4 linked regions of the Schizosaccharomyces pombe genome follow. The main gene of each other region encodes a partner of the protein of the gene in region 4 in a complex. Each region holds a gene or a part of one and is shown on either strand. Other genes may lie near its edges.

Evidence for each region.
Region 1: img1 (region 4) and rml2 share a complex: the UniProt entries of both Schizosaccharomyces pombe proteins name them as parts of the mitochondrial large ribosomal subunit.
Region 2: img1 (region 4) and mrpl31 share a complex: the UniProt entries of both Schizosaccharomyces pombe proteins name them as parts of the mitochondrial large ribosomal subunit.
Region 3: img1 (region 4) and mhr1 share a complex: the UniProt entries of both Schizosaccharomyces pombe proteins name them as parts of the mitochondrial large ribosomal subunit.

Annotation. Positions count from the first base shown.
Region 1 is NC_003421.2:694,355-698,101, reverse strand, and holds rml2 (mitochondrial 54S ribosomal protein uL2m), read right to left. Parts: upstream 2,191-3,747; 5' UTR 2,181-2,190; coding exon 2,019-2,180; exon of another isoform or gene 1,995-2,018; intron 1,946-1,994; coding exon 1,019-1,945; 3' UTR 620-1,018; downstream 1-619. Other genes in the region: RNA cap binding protein cbc3, read left to right, coding at 1-227, 350-497; transcription factor TFIIIC subunit Sfc4, read left to right, coding at 3,257-3,747. UniProt on the Schizosaccharomyces pombe protein: Component of the mitochondrial ribosome (mitoribosome), a dedicated translation machinery responsible for the synthesis of mitochondrial genome-encoded proteins, including at least some of the essential transmembrane subunits of the mitochondrial respiratory chain.
Region 2 is NC_003421.2:886,832-889,870, reverse strand, and holds mrpl31 (mitochondrial 54S ribosomal protein mL60), read right to left. Parts: upstream 1,286-3,039; 5' UTR 1,014-1,285; coding exon 666-1,013; 3' UTR 576-665; downstream 1-575. Other genes in the region: ubiquitin hydrolase Ubp1, read left to right, coding at 1-434; oca8 (cytochrome b5), read left to right, coding at 1,484-1,631, 2,138-2,229, 2,316-2,465. UniProt on the Schizosaccharomyces pombe protein: Component of the mitochondrial ribosome (mitoribosome), a dedicated translation machinery responsible for the synthesis of mitochondrial genome-encoded proteins, including at least some of the essential transmembrane subunits of the mitochondrial respiratory chain.
Region 3 is NC_003423.3:1,799,622-1,803,347, reverse strand, and holds mhr1 (mitochondrial 54S ribosomal protein mL67 ), read left to right. Parts: upstream 1-2,057; 5' UTR 2,058-2,089; coding exon 2,090-2,617; 3' UTR 2,618-3,135; downstream 3,136-3,726. Other genes in the region: SPOM_SPBC18H10.18C (uncharacterized protein), read left to right, coding at 219-609, 655-992; vacuolar membrane cation-chloride cotransporter Vhc1, read right to left, coding at 3,136-3,726. UniProt on the Schizosaccharomyces pombe protein: Component of the mitochondrial ribosome (mitoribosome), a dedicated translation machinery responsible for the synthesis of mitochondrial genome-encoded proteins, including at least some of the essential transmembrane subunits of the mitochondrial respiratory chain.
Region 4 is NC_003424.3:1,639,906-1,643,457, reverse strand, and holds img1 (mitochondrial 54S ribosomal protein bL19m), read right to left. Parts: upstream 1,764-3,552; 5' UTR 1,704-1,763; coding exon 1,155-1,703; 3' UTR 526-1,154; downstream 1-525. Other genes in the region: anaphase-promoting complex ubiquitin -protein ligase E3 subunit Apc11, read right to left, coding at 166-288, 332-350; erg8 (phosphomevalonate kinase), read left to right, coding at 2,573-2,580, 2,647-3,552. UniProt on the Schizosaccharomyces pombe protein: Component of the mitochondrial ribosome (mitoribosome), a dedicated translation machinery responsible for the synthesis of mitochondrial genome-encoded proteins, including at least some of the essential transmembrane subunits of the mitochondrial respiratory chain.

The sequences.
Region 1 (3,747 bases), on a different chromosome or scaffold from region 4:
GTTTCACGAAATGCTTTATTTCATTTAATTATGGAGTCTCCGACAGAATTTTCAGAGGAATTGGAATATCAAACGAAACCACACCCAACTGTACCGACGTGTCAATTCAAAATACGTTACGCCCGCTACGGAGACAAGAAGGTTAAAAGCGCACATCTTTACTCGAGATATTATCTGTTTCACGGTGATCCTCGAGAAGAAAAGGCTCAGAAGAGCAAATCTAAAAGGTATAACTTGTGAAAACCAAATTAGTCCGGGTGCACTCATACTTTTCAAAAATCATTTCCTCTACTTTTGAGAATCTCCTTTTACTCAATTTTATATTCAAATTACTAACACTTTCGCACAGTAGAAATCAAGATGAAAGGGGTTCGCCATTAGATGAACGACTAGGTCCTAAAGTGTCTGACCTTACACTGATGGAAAGAATATTCCAAGTTCGACGCAAGCCACGCAAATCAAGGAGAGACCGTCGTTCCAGGGTTTCCAAGCGTTAATTGTGTTGTAGAGAAATATTAAATACCCAGTTTATCCGCTTTTAAGTCGCTTTTCGCTGGACGAAGGCAAGAAAAAATTAATATGCTAAATTAGCTACAATTTTATAAATAAAATTTTTTTATTTAGTTGGCCATATTAAAATAAAACCGTTCTTTTCTGCGTTTAATAGAATACTCTTTTGGTACCTGAATGATATCGATAACCCTTTTAAGGTAGATGTAAGCAAACGACAATTTTGAATGGGATAGTCCTTAGCTTTAAGCAACGTTGTGATGAACAAAAATTACCAATACAGATTTAAATTGTAAGAGCTAAACTCTTAAAAAATGCTTAAAATTTTTCGTCGATAAATGACGGTCGACACAAAATAACTATACATAAATGCATCTGGTCCACAAATGGATAGGTAATAGCATCGACTATTAAAATGGAGAAGGGATCATGAAAATTGAAATGCATTACGGTAATGTAAAACATAGAAATGTAAAAGTCATGAAGACAGAGATCATTAATAAAATGATTACCGCTTTTCCTTTCCACGAGGACGATCGCGGACGAGTAATTTATTAACATTTTTACCTCTTCTTGTTTTGTATCCACCTTTAGCCAAAACACCCCAAGGAGATTGAGAAGGTTTATTACCAATGCTTTTACCACCACCACCACCATGTGGATGGTCACATGGATTCATAGCTGTACCTCGAACCGTAGGACGAATGCCAAGCCAACGTGAACGACCGGCTTTACCAAGCTGGCGATGTTGCCAATAAATATTGCTTACAACACCAATGGTAGCAAATGATGTATCCAAAATCTTTCTCTCTTCACCACTTTGTAGACGAACGATAGCATATTTACCATCAAAAGCTATGATACGAGCGCTACTGCCAGCAGAACGACATAGCTTTGCCTTTTGATTTGGATTTACACCAATGGCATGAATGACAGTTCCTATAGGAATTAATCTGAGAGGAAAACAATTTCCTGGCTTCAAATTTTTTGCTGCAAAAGTTCCATCTTCAATTTCAGCAGCTAGGACGGGGTCCATTTCTACTGGCTCGCCATTAGAACCAGTCTTCAAAAGCGATCGAAAGCTCTCAACTGTATCGCCTTCGCGAAGCCCGTCACAAGCCAAAATATAACTTTTGTTGGCTGTTTCGGAATTCAATTTTTCAACAAGGGCAATGTGACCACTTCTACCAGGGTCATACTCAATTCTAATCACTCGATGAACACCCGGTACTTTTCTTTCAAAGTCAACAAGACGAATACGTTGTTTGTGTCCACCACCCTGATGCCTTACAGTAATTCTTCCTGTTTCATTTCTTCCACCTTTTTTTCTTTTTGCAACGGTCAAAGGTCGAAAAGGTTTCCCTTTCCAAAGGTAATCACTAACTGGTCTTTTTAAATGACGAAGACCAGGAGATATAGGTTTGTAAGTTTTAATCTTGATAAGAATTAGTAAAAAATGAATTAAGGCTTGATAAATAAAAAGTAACCCTCGTGTTAATATTACATACCTCGAACTTCGTTTTTGGTCGTAGAAGCATCCCTACATCGTAGGGTCTCTCGGAAGATTCAATTTTTTCACCGCTTGTAGATGCGGTAGAGGCATATCTGAACAGCTTTAACGCATGAATTTGAGGAATCAAATACCCCCGAAATCGATTATAACTCAACATGGGGATTTCCAACTAAACCTATGGTAAGAACTCACAATATGATGGACTGCGAATTAACGAGTTCAATCATAATTTGCGACGCTCAGTGCTAAAATCTTTACACAATCCAAGGTGTCGTTAACTGTGTAAATAAATGAACATTGATCTAGGGAATACAACATAGAGGAAATTGAACACATTAGCTATAATAATGAAGAACTTTGTTTTATTGTTTGATCATCTGTGTAGTAAATATTTTATACATTGTAAACCCGATTCTATACGTTTGAAAGTAATGGCAGGTCAACTGAGAATTTCAACCACGTTATAATATATTGGAAATTTTGATAAATTGAATTTGCTTTTCCTTCGAGTTGAGCAAAGTTAAACTAGAATTTACGACACCTGTAATAAGCCTGCTGAGCATGAAGAGTTTAAGGGATTCAAGGTATCAGGAAAACATTGCTTTCTCACAAAACTCTTCTCACATTCCTTTTTGGATGTGTGCTTAATTAATTACTAAATAAGTTCACATACCAAAAAAATCTTATTTAATATACAGTTTCAACGAAAAGTTTCAACTATGGAAATTTGTTTTGTTAACTCGTTCATTTTCGTTTCAAAACAATTCGAAGATGGGGTTGATCTGCGTTTGTTTAATATAGCTTATTAGTTTGCTTATGAAAGGTTTCGATACTATACTCTGTGTACACTGACAAAGGTCAATCAACATGAAAAGCCTTGAGATGCCATTTTCCAAAAAAAAAAGTGAAAAACACTATTTGATTGACTAGGATCTTCCAAATTCTTACAGATATTAGGTATTTTGACAACATCAAAATTGTCAAGTTTGCAATTCAAAAATGTTGCAAGTAAAATAACTGGTGTCAGGAAAAAAGGACTAATATTTATTGACTTCATATTAATTAGTCAATTGTAGAACAAGATATGTGGTACCCATGACCTCTTTGTTTATTGAGTACTTCTATAATGACTTACTTCAACTTTGCCTTCACCAACGCCAACGCGAAAACAGCCAACTTCAAGTAGGCAAAAGGAACAGACCGATTTGAAAGCATGATTGAGCATCTTAAAGGATGATTCAAAATGGTGGAAATAGCTATGTGGATTCCAATATGAATGAAACGCAAAATGATACAACTGACAACTTTGATGCTGAAATGCAAGATCTAAACGGGTATATAAGCGAAATTGTCGATGAGGCTAGGAATGTATCTGAAGTTGATGCAAAATTTTTGGGAGATACCTCTGCCCTTCAAGCTGAGGGCCTTTGGTCAGACGAAGAGTCAGATTATGAAGGCAGTGACGATGAATCAAACTTTAGTAAAACAGCCTCAAGAACCGAGGACGACATTGCGAACGAGGAATGGGAAGAAAATTTAAAGGCAGTTGCTGGATTTAGAAAAGTCCGTAAAGGTCATAAAGGTCGAGGACGTGTTAGTCGAGCTGATATGCTTCCCTCGGTGGAAGTGCAACAAATGTTGAGTTTAGCGAATCATTTGTTTGCGCAAGAAGGAAACTTCGACGAAGCCCAAAAATTAGCTGAAGAGATTGTTCGTATTGATAA
Region 2 (3,039 bases), on a different chromosome or scaffold from region 4:
ATTTACAGGATTCCTGGTATTGTCCTGGGTGTAAGGCATTTCGACCGGCAACAAAACGGCTGGAGATCTGGCGATTGCCAAAAATACTAGTCATTCATTTAAATCGATTCAGCGGCCACGGTGGAGATTTGCGGAGAAGACGTAAACGAAGGGATTTAGTAGTTTATCCAGTATTTGATCTCAATTTGAAGCAATTTTTGAGTCCATTTATAAAAGATCATGAGTGGCTATCGTCACAGAAATCGATGCTTTACGATTTGTATGCAGTGGACAATCATCACGGGTTTATGAGTAATGGTCATTATACTGCCTATGCAAGAGATGCATCGAGCCAAACATTCTTTAAGTTTGATGATACAGCTATTTGTGAAATAGATCCGGAGGATATTGTCACATCGTCTGCTTATGTATTGTTTTACAGAGCAAAGAATTAAAGAGACGTATAATAGAGGTGATATGAACTTTACTCTAACTAAAGGCTAATGTCGTTTGTTTGAATATGTATGAAACTGGAAATTGAATATGAACGAAGACGAGGAAGAGGTGGGAGTTTTTGCAATAAAAAAGTAATAAAATAAGCTATTAAAATAATCCATTACATTTATTATTCATAGAGCATTAAAATTATGAAAAAAAAAGTAGTAAACTTTTGCAACCAGACGTTTTTAAAAGCCAGTGGGATTAACACGATTAGTACTACGGGTCCATTTTGGTGATTTATGGACACCCTTGCGGAAGCCTTGGAGACCGGCACCTTGAGTCTTCCTGGTAAACATAGTGTATTTATCCTTTGGTGACATTTGGGATTCAGGCTGATGGTTAGCAACGAAACTTTCAATTCGTTTGCACGATTGATTTTTCTCTTGCAACGCCGTGCGCAAAACATCTACCACCTCATCGACGGCACGAAGTCGTTGACGGTGACGATATTTTCTTCGCTGGGATAATCTCCAAGGTACTTTATGAACAAGACCGCCAAAGCGAGCCAAAGTCGAGTTAAATGCACCCAGCATATTTTTCGTATAAAATCAAAAGGAGAGGAAGAAGGTTGGATCAAAAAGAGCAAATAAAAATTTTTTGTTAAGTTTTTGGGTGATAGACAAATTCTGAGTAGTTGATGGTTTGTCACAAAGTAGTTTACGGCTCCAACGAAACAGCAAAGATGTGAACAAAAATTAACTTGATTAGCGTCCTAAATTGATTTAAATATTATATTGCCATTCAAATATAAACACTACACCTCCAAAATGGTGGAGTTGGTTAACTGAAGAATGATATAGGTTTTGGGTAAGTTCATATCCTTGGGTGTACCTTCCAACTCGAATCCACGTGACCACCTGCCAGTAAGAATCGGCTCATTTCTACTTCCCACCTGCTAGATAAATCGCGATAGGGCATTTGCAACCAACATCTCGAGAGTAATTAGCTCCTGGGTTATAACCGTTAAATACCACCTTTAAGGAAGAATAAGCAGAACTTGATCATGGCAGAGAAGACAATTACTGTTGAAGAAGTGTTAAAACATAACACTCGTGATGATTTGTACATTGTTGTAAAAGACAAGGTGTATGATATTTCCAAGTTCCTTGACGCTCACCCTGGTGGTGAAGAGGTTCTTGTTGATTTGGCCGGTAAGTAAATTTTTAGGGGTACGCGATAATGGAGGTCTTGAGGAAGATTGGTTGTAATGCATAAAAATTGGTCGCGATTGTGTGGAGTCGTAGAAATCGAAGTTTCAGACAACTAGCGTTACAAAACTTTGAATTTCACGAGAGTTTAGGTGTCGCATATACACATGTTCTTTAATTTGAAAGATTCAGGACGAATCTTTGCCGTAGGAACGTACAAAAATAGATGCGATATCCTGAATAAATACGATGTTTAATGCGACATTGTCATTGAAGGTGAATTGTTAAGTACAGTCTATATGTTCCAAGATTGATCGCTCTCTACTCGATGTTTTGTATTTCCAGTACTCTGAATACACTGAAATACATAATTTTGGAAAGATTGATTGACGATATCGCTTCGATTCTTCACATACGGCTTTTGGATTGGCTATACAAAGTTTCTGCCTTTCTCTACCATCGCTAGGGGCTTTTTTTTGTTCGTTTCTGTGATTATTAACTTGTTTTAGGTCGTGATGCTAGCGGTCCTTTCGAGGATGTTGGTCACTCTGAGGATGCTCAGGAGTTGCTCGAAAAATTTTACATTGGAAACTTGCTCAGAGTATGTCATTTATTTTTTCTCTTCGTTCGCCATAGGCTCGTTAAAATTTTTGTAAAAATTTGCTTCGACACTCTAACATATTTTAGACTGAAGATGGCCCTCAGCTTCCCACAACTGGTGCTGCCGCTGGTGGAAGTGGATATGATTCTTCTCAACCAGTTAAGCCTGCTATGTGGCTCTTTGTCCTTGTGATGGTTGTTGCTTACTTTGCTTTTCGCAAGTATGTCCTCAAATAGACTGCTTAAATTCCCAGTCTTACTTTTGCGCTCAAAGAAATTTAAAGGCCTTCTTTCGTTTTGGGTCGTTTAAATGTGCTGAATATGGTTTTGTGATTTTGAGCTAGCAAGTTTCGTTTTTTGTTGTTGTTAGATATCTACTTTAGCTTTCTTTACCTGTTCGTACTTAGGATATTTACGGATTCAATGTATTCCTTTAACACGCTTTGGTTTGGCTCTTAATGTGAATGGCATATTAATATTAATAGAGACCTTTGATTTGTCTGGACGTAAATTTAATTCACAACGGTCTTATGCTTGCTTTGCGTAACTGTATAATTGATAATACTTAGTGTTATATTTTTTGTATTTTCGTTGTTTGTTCTCTCATAAAAAAAAGTTTTATAGTTTCTTCTATTCTATTGTTTTATCGATGGACCTATGCCCAACTTGTCTAGAATTTTAAGCGGTGATCGAGTAAATAAGTTCGGGCGTTATTTAACGATCGAGGATTTATTCATTAAGTCTTTTTTTTTATATATAAATGTAAATTCATGATAATTGCGACACTTTTTACGTCTCAACAATTTTTTTC
Region 3 (3,726 bases), on a different chromosome or scaffold from region 4:
TGCGTAAATTGATATTGACAGCACAATGATTCAATTTCATTCCTTAACAAGAGCCATCTCTTTTTGTTGGATGCTTAGAACGCGTGGATTTTTAGGCTATTCAAGTGTTTGGTTTTGATCTATTTATCTATTTTATATTTTAATTTCGCATTTTATTTTGCAATGTTCAAGTTGGAACTCAAACGTATATAATCACTATTGGTAAAAGGCTCTTCAAAATGCCAGACGAAAAGTTACCTCAATACAATGAAGTTTGGAATGATTTGGAGAAGGGTTGTTTACATTCTTGTCCTTCATATTCAGTCAATAATCATGTAAACAATCCAATTGTCAAACAAAACTCAACATTAACACAACCATCGTTACGAAAAAAAAATACAATGGCTGCACCTGCTAGATTAAGAAAGCGTTCGGAAAATGTGCGACTTACACAAGCTAGATATGCGATATTTCATATCTTCCTTCCTTTCATTCTTACTTTATTGCTTTATCATAATTTTTATAATTATTTCGATCAGGCATTGGCGGATCTTAATTCTGTGGTTAAATATGTTATTGAAACTATAGTGTTAATATTTACATACGTGATGACAGTGATTATTGTTTATTGTAAGTTTTTGAGATGATTTGAATTCATGGCTAACGATTTTCTAGTTTCATTTTCGTTAATTAAATTAGCGTTTGAAGAAGCTTATGTTTATGCACCATCTGTAGCTAAAGCGAATGAAGGTCTAGCTAAACATGTAGCTAAAACGATTGCAGGCCTAGTTAAATATGTAGCTAAAGCAATTCAAGGTTTGGCTCATATTATTTTATCCTTACTGTTGTTTATTCTCGGGCTCGAAGTAATAGAACAAGATGAAGAGACTGGCGACGTTGAAATGTCGTCTATGCGAGGCCAAGCAATTACCACAGAGCCAGCAAGTGACAACACAATGGCTGAGGGAACCGATTGCAACACTTCTAAAGATGTAGAATCGGGCAGCAGCTAAAAGTCATGGCTAGAAAAAAAAATCAAGGGGCTGCCAACCAGCTGCGAGTGTCTTTTTTATTTCATTACTAATTTTCTTACTTTCCTGCAGAAGCTCCTTTTTTCCCCTTTATTTCTATTTCTTGTATTATTACCTTATACGCATTGTCACTTAATCATTTCCGATGACAGTCATCACTCTTTTTCCATACATACATTTTTGTCTCTGTTATAGAGTAAACACGATGTGTTTCTGTGGTGCTAGGAAAAGTCATTTAACTAATGAATCTGGTTGTCAATTATAAATTAATCATCCTCTTTATTGTTTTACCAAATTGATATACAATCCTTAATTATGACTTTGTAAGATTTGCGAATTAAAAAATTGAACAAGTAAGGCATTACTCAAAAGACGCAAAGTAGTGATTTAACCTTAGTTTCTGTTTAATGCATAAAATGAGGATTCCATATATCATTTTCAAGTGTTCGGAGCTTTAAAATACAGTATATACAGGAAATATAAGTTCAAACTTGTTTCTAAAACAAATAAAAATGAAAAATCAATTTGGTGTAGAGCGAAAACCTATTTTAAATAATGCGATTTCCCAATTCCTGGTCAGTAGCAATTTCTTTACAAAAAGAATTAAAAAATTATTCAATTTGTATTATATGAAATCTTTCGTATTCAAAATCTACCAACATTCAGCCCAAGCGAAAAGTAATATTTTTTGCTATGTCCATAGGTAACAATATAATTTATTTCAGAGAACACCCATTGAAATTGCTGCTTATATTAACTGTGTAACATAATATATTAGGTCACAGAGAGATTCATTGCACTTTAAGTATCGTTAAGCAGATACCGAAATACGTGAGCGACACTTTAAATAGATATTAAACTGCGTAGCTGACCAGTATTCAAATTTTCCGTCACTCACCGTATCATTAAAACATTTACTGTTTTTGGCTGCTCAACGCGCAATGCTGCCTAACATCTGTGCTAGCAAACGATATGTGTTTATTGGGCACAACGTTTATACGCGGACGCGCTATTAACAAACTTCGCATCTCTTACAAGCATATATGTAAACAGCCAATCTGTACTCGTAAAAGGAAAGAATGCTTGAAAAGAACAAGTATCTCTATATATTTAGGCATATTCAAACGAATCAGGTACTTTTATCTCAAGGAAATGTTTTAAAAAAGACTGCGTTGTTTCAACTTCCCTACCCACTTCAAAAGCCAGTCGCTCCAAATGGTATGCGACCCGCTAAGCTCCGTAAAGACCATTGGGTTCCTTTACTAAAAGTCGAATTTCCTAATGAATCAATGTTTCAATCTGTTTTTATGCAACTGTTAAACTATCGAAAATATCGTTCTGTTCAACCACTGACTAGTGACCTTTTGAAATTGCCTATACCCGTTCGTAGAAGAAAAATAATGCGACAAGAGGTTCCTAACACGATTGCGGACTTGGCAGATATTTTAAATAAAGAAAAATTTCCCGAAAATTCCGTTCGTTTGCAACTGAGTGATAAATCCGATAGTGAATATGCAGATTGGCCCCCTAGTGTGCAGATTGATTCAGAGGAAATTAAACTCTCGCGAGGTTTCCGTGAAAAAACAACCGTAGACGAAGCTAGATGAAGCATAATATCATTACTTCTCTCACTTTCTTCCTTCAAAAACACCCCTCATCCATTTTTAGGCTTTCTTAAAGGGCATTATATGAAGTATAAGCTAACACATATTCATATTAGCTCAATCTTTTTTACTTAATGATAAAGTCCTTTTTACTAAAGACGGTTACGAATTCTTCCCAGTGTATCCAGTGTATTGCACTGGACAGCTTCCTTAGCTTATCATTGTACTTCAATGCGAGAGTATTGGCTAGATACTCAAGACAAGATAAATTTAATACAAATCGACACCAAATACTCGTATCTTTATTATTTTACCATTTTGAAGTTTTCGAGCTCCTATGAAATATATGCAAGATTAACTCATCACTTTATTGCCTCGTTTTTTTTTTGTTTAAAGTTTGGTCCAGAATAAAAAAAAAATATTAGCATCTAAAATAGAAATCATGGACCAAATATTTAAATAGTTATAACAATGCCAAAAGAAAAGACTTTATAAACCAAAGACATAAATACCATAAATCGTTAAAGAGCGGTAGTTATAGTTAAACTCTTAGAGTGGATTAATGCACAAGGAGGTAATCCTTCCATAAATATTAATAAGTCATCAACATATTCCTCGCTTTTTCGAAAGCTCTTATGAGTGTCGGCCAAAGGTGCTGGTAAAACAGTAAACAATACAGAAGTATTTTTAGTATGTTTCAGCACGATTTCATTCATAATTATGTATTGAGATCTCGAGGATAAATCGTTAAACGTCAACTTCTCTTTAGAATAGTCCCTTCCTATTTTTTTCTTTGGTGCTAGTCTATCAGATGAACTATCTTCTCGGACCACGTTGGGCATCAGAGATGACTCAATAGTACTGTCAGAATAAGTTCTTCTATTTTCTTGTTTTGGTGATAAAGAACGGTTTCCGAAAGAAGATTCAGTCTCAAACGACTTTACTGAATGCATATGTGGCCCAAGGCGGAAACTCAATGGCACACTTAAAGGTGGAGCACTCTTATCAAAGCTGGCAGATCTAAAGTTATAACCAGACATACGACGTGGAAAACGAATAGGTCCTAAGGAATCTACAGTATTTCCTCTTCTTTTCTTTTCTTCCTGCCACCA
Region 4 (3,552 bases):
CTCTTTTTAACAAAAACAAAGTATGAATATTAGATTAAAGATTATTTGAACACAACCAACCCAATTGCGCAACAAATTTTCATGCTGATACCCCCTTAGGATGCAAAGTATACAAGTAAGCCTCCGCAGAGCATATTCAGGAAATAAATACAAACATATTCTTACCTATGGGGCAATTGTCTCCAGGACTTGTGCATTGAGGGCAGCATCCATCGAATGGAACACGACATATACCACAAACGTCGTCTTTTGGGGTATCCCACGTCCAGTTAGCAATTGCATGGTATCCTAGTGGTTAGAAAACAATTTTATTTCCAAAATATTCGCTTACTCAGTATTTTCACCTTCATAGTCTTTGTATATTGTATTTGAGATCTAATTAAATAAACATTAGTGTTTTTTGCTAGCTAATGTTTTACGTTCTACCACGGTATTAAGAAAACAATTCAGGCGAAAAACAAAATGTCGTAAGAAGAGAAGAGTTAGTAGATTTACAGTTGATATTTGGCTTTAGCTATACATCTTTTCGTTTTCTGAAAGTTTAAAATTTCTAACTAAAACTAATTTTCATTGGACTGTAACAAGCCGGCTACATTCGACATGCTAACAAAATTTTTATATTTATGATACTTTGCTTCTTTAGCTTATAACATATTGTTGAGCTCAAGTTTTATACTTTTTTACATGAATAATTTCAAATATTATTCAAAATAATCAAAGCGCAGAATTATGAAGAGGCAAGCCTACATACAGCTCAAATTTATAAGAAAAAAGTAGAGGTTTTGATTCATAGTGCCTCACAAATTCATCTGGGAAAATTAATGGCAATGACATGTGACTTGTCGATTCAAAGAATGAGAAGGGGGTAAAAGGCTCAAAGGAGGTGATTCATTGCCGTTTCATGGAATCGATAATACGTGTTTTGACAAACAGGCTAAAGCCGAAATATACATCCAAATCTCTAAATCTGTTCCAGAAAACCAACCAACGCCTCTTATAATGCAGTTCTAAATGCAATAGCCTGTAGAAAAAGACAAGTAGATAGGGAAACATAGAGTGTAAACGAACTATAAATCATACAGCGCTTCTTGAATAAAATCATGAAAGATTCGCAAAAAAAAAGAAATTTACTTGCAGAAGTTGCAATGATTGTGTCAAGGTTTATGTTGATTTTGTTCAATGTATTTTCGCACCAGTGATTCAACAGGTGGAAGACGAAAGCGAGGTTGACGCAAGTAACTTAAGTATGCTCTTCTAGGTCTTTTAGATAGACCATTTTCTTTGAGGACAACAATACGTTTAATTTGTGGAGAGTAAATTGGTAACAAATATTCGACTCCAACACCCATTACCACGTTTCGTAACAGGATTGAACTTTTTGGTCCACGATGCCGAATTCGCAGTAGATAACCAGCAAATCTGTTGACTGAATCTTTTGATGGGTATTTTGAGTAGCTTTCAACCAGTAAAACCGCGCCTGGTCTTACTCGATTTGGCTGCGAGCGATGAAACATTTTGAATCGCTCAGATTGCTCATCCAATACTGAACGGCACTTTTTTTCGAATAATGATAACACATCTTTGTGCTTTGGACCTGGTACTGGCTTTGGAAAGTTATAAGGCCGTTTTAACGATCCAATACCTCTCTTTTGTAGCCATTGAAAGCCCAATCCTAAATTGAAAAAGTGTTTGGCATTAAACATGTCTTCCAAAAGTCATTAAATACCGTTCGTTAGTAAGAATGACAAAACACTATATTCTACAGAGTATCTTTTTAAGTAAGTACGATGGTATTCAAAATGAATTAGCAAATTCTGCACAACGTATTTCGTTATATGTTATTTATTGTCAACCTTCCATTACGCTATATTAGACTATGTAAGTTAATACAGTTGATTATATATTTTTATATGATTTATCCATCAAGGATTGTGTTTCTGACCTTGAATGTTCAAGGCAATAGAAAGATTCCTGTTGAACCCGAATGAATATACGTGTTCCAATTCAGTTACATGGCTTCTCATTGTAGTTATAATACTATCAATAACTCGCTGGTATTCAGAAAACTTCAATAGCAAGATTTGCTTTTTTCTTTCCACCTTAATGTTCCATTTTCGTAAAAGATATTATTTTATATGCAATCAATTATATACTCTAATATGAATATGCGTTAATGTAATCTCTGTATTCCTGATTTCGAACTCTCCTTAATTAACGTTAATTTTCTATACTATTTTCTCCACAAGCAAATCTTGCGAAACGAACGATACGATAATGATTTAGAAAGTTGATTTACTCAAAGCAACTTTAGTTTCTGTATAACATTTGATACTCTTTGATCAGTTCTTTTTTTATTTTTTTTGATTTTTAGAATAACACTTTTCAGGAGCTACTGTTCGAAGATAATCCTCTCTTTTACTTTGACTGATATATCATTTCTCTAAATTCAACAGATTATCACGTAAGATAGAAGTCATACATTCCTTTCTATTTCCTTCTCAGGTCCTATAAAAAAGTTACGACACACAAAACATTATAGAGATATCCATATTCAAGACAAAAATATATCAACATGAAAGTGTAAGTTGAAACCAGTCTTTTTTCTTTTTTTCTGTTTTGTCCATCTCTAACTAGCGTCTTTGGCAGGACCTGCTCTGCTCCTGGTAAAGTACTTATAGCTGGTGGATACATTGTTTTAGATCCTCAATACAGCGGGCTTGTTATTGGTTTAACTGCCAAAGGGTACGCTTCCACAACGACTTTGGACGATAAATGTGGAACGGTTCGTGTGAAAAGCCCTCAATTCATTAACGCTGAATGGCTTTATAATATTGATTGGACTGTATCTCCTATTCGAGTTCATCAGATATATGAAAACTGTGAATTGGAAAAAAATCCAAACCCCTTCGTTCAACTGGCACTTTTTTATGTAATTAACTACTTTTTTTCCACGGGGCGACAACCTTTATGCTGGCAAGATCTTCAAGTTACATTGCAGGTAGATAATGCCTATTATCACCAACCACAGTTAAAGCCTGATCAAACAAGCTATCCAAAATTCAATTTCTTAAACTGTACTTTAGGTCAAGTACATAAGACTGGTTTAGGAAGCTCGGCAGCTATGATTACAAGTCTTATAGGTTCATTATTTTTAAGTCTTAGACGACTAACAGATGACACTGGTGACAAATCTCTCAAAATTGATGATTCAACCAAAGTCATAGTTCACAATCTGGCACAAATTGCCCACTGTTCTGCACAAGGAAAAGTAGGAAGTGGGTTTGATGTTGGCGCTGCCACTTGGGGAAGTTGTATTTATAGAAGGTTTGATCCTAAATTAATTGAACAACTGCTGGTCCCATACGACGAACAAATAAAGAACATAAATTTTTCCACCGAACTGAGAAAAATAGTTTCTAAAAAATGGTCAGATGTTGTTCCATTTCAATTGCCTGCTACTTATTGTTTGCTAATGGGGGACGTAGCTGGTGGCAGTAGCACACCGGGTATGGTAAAAAAAGTACAGCAATGGCAAAAGGAAAATCCAGAGGA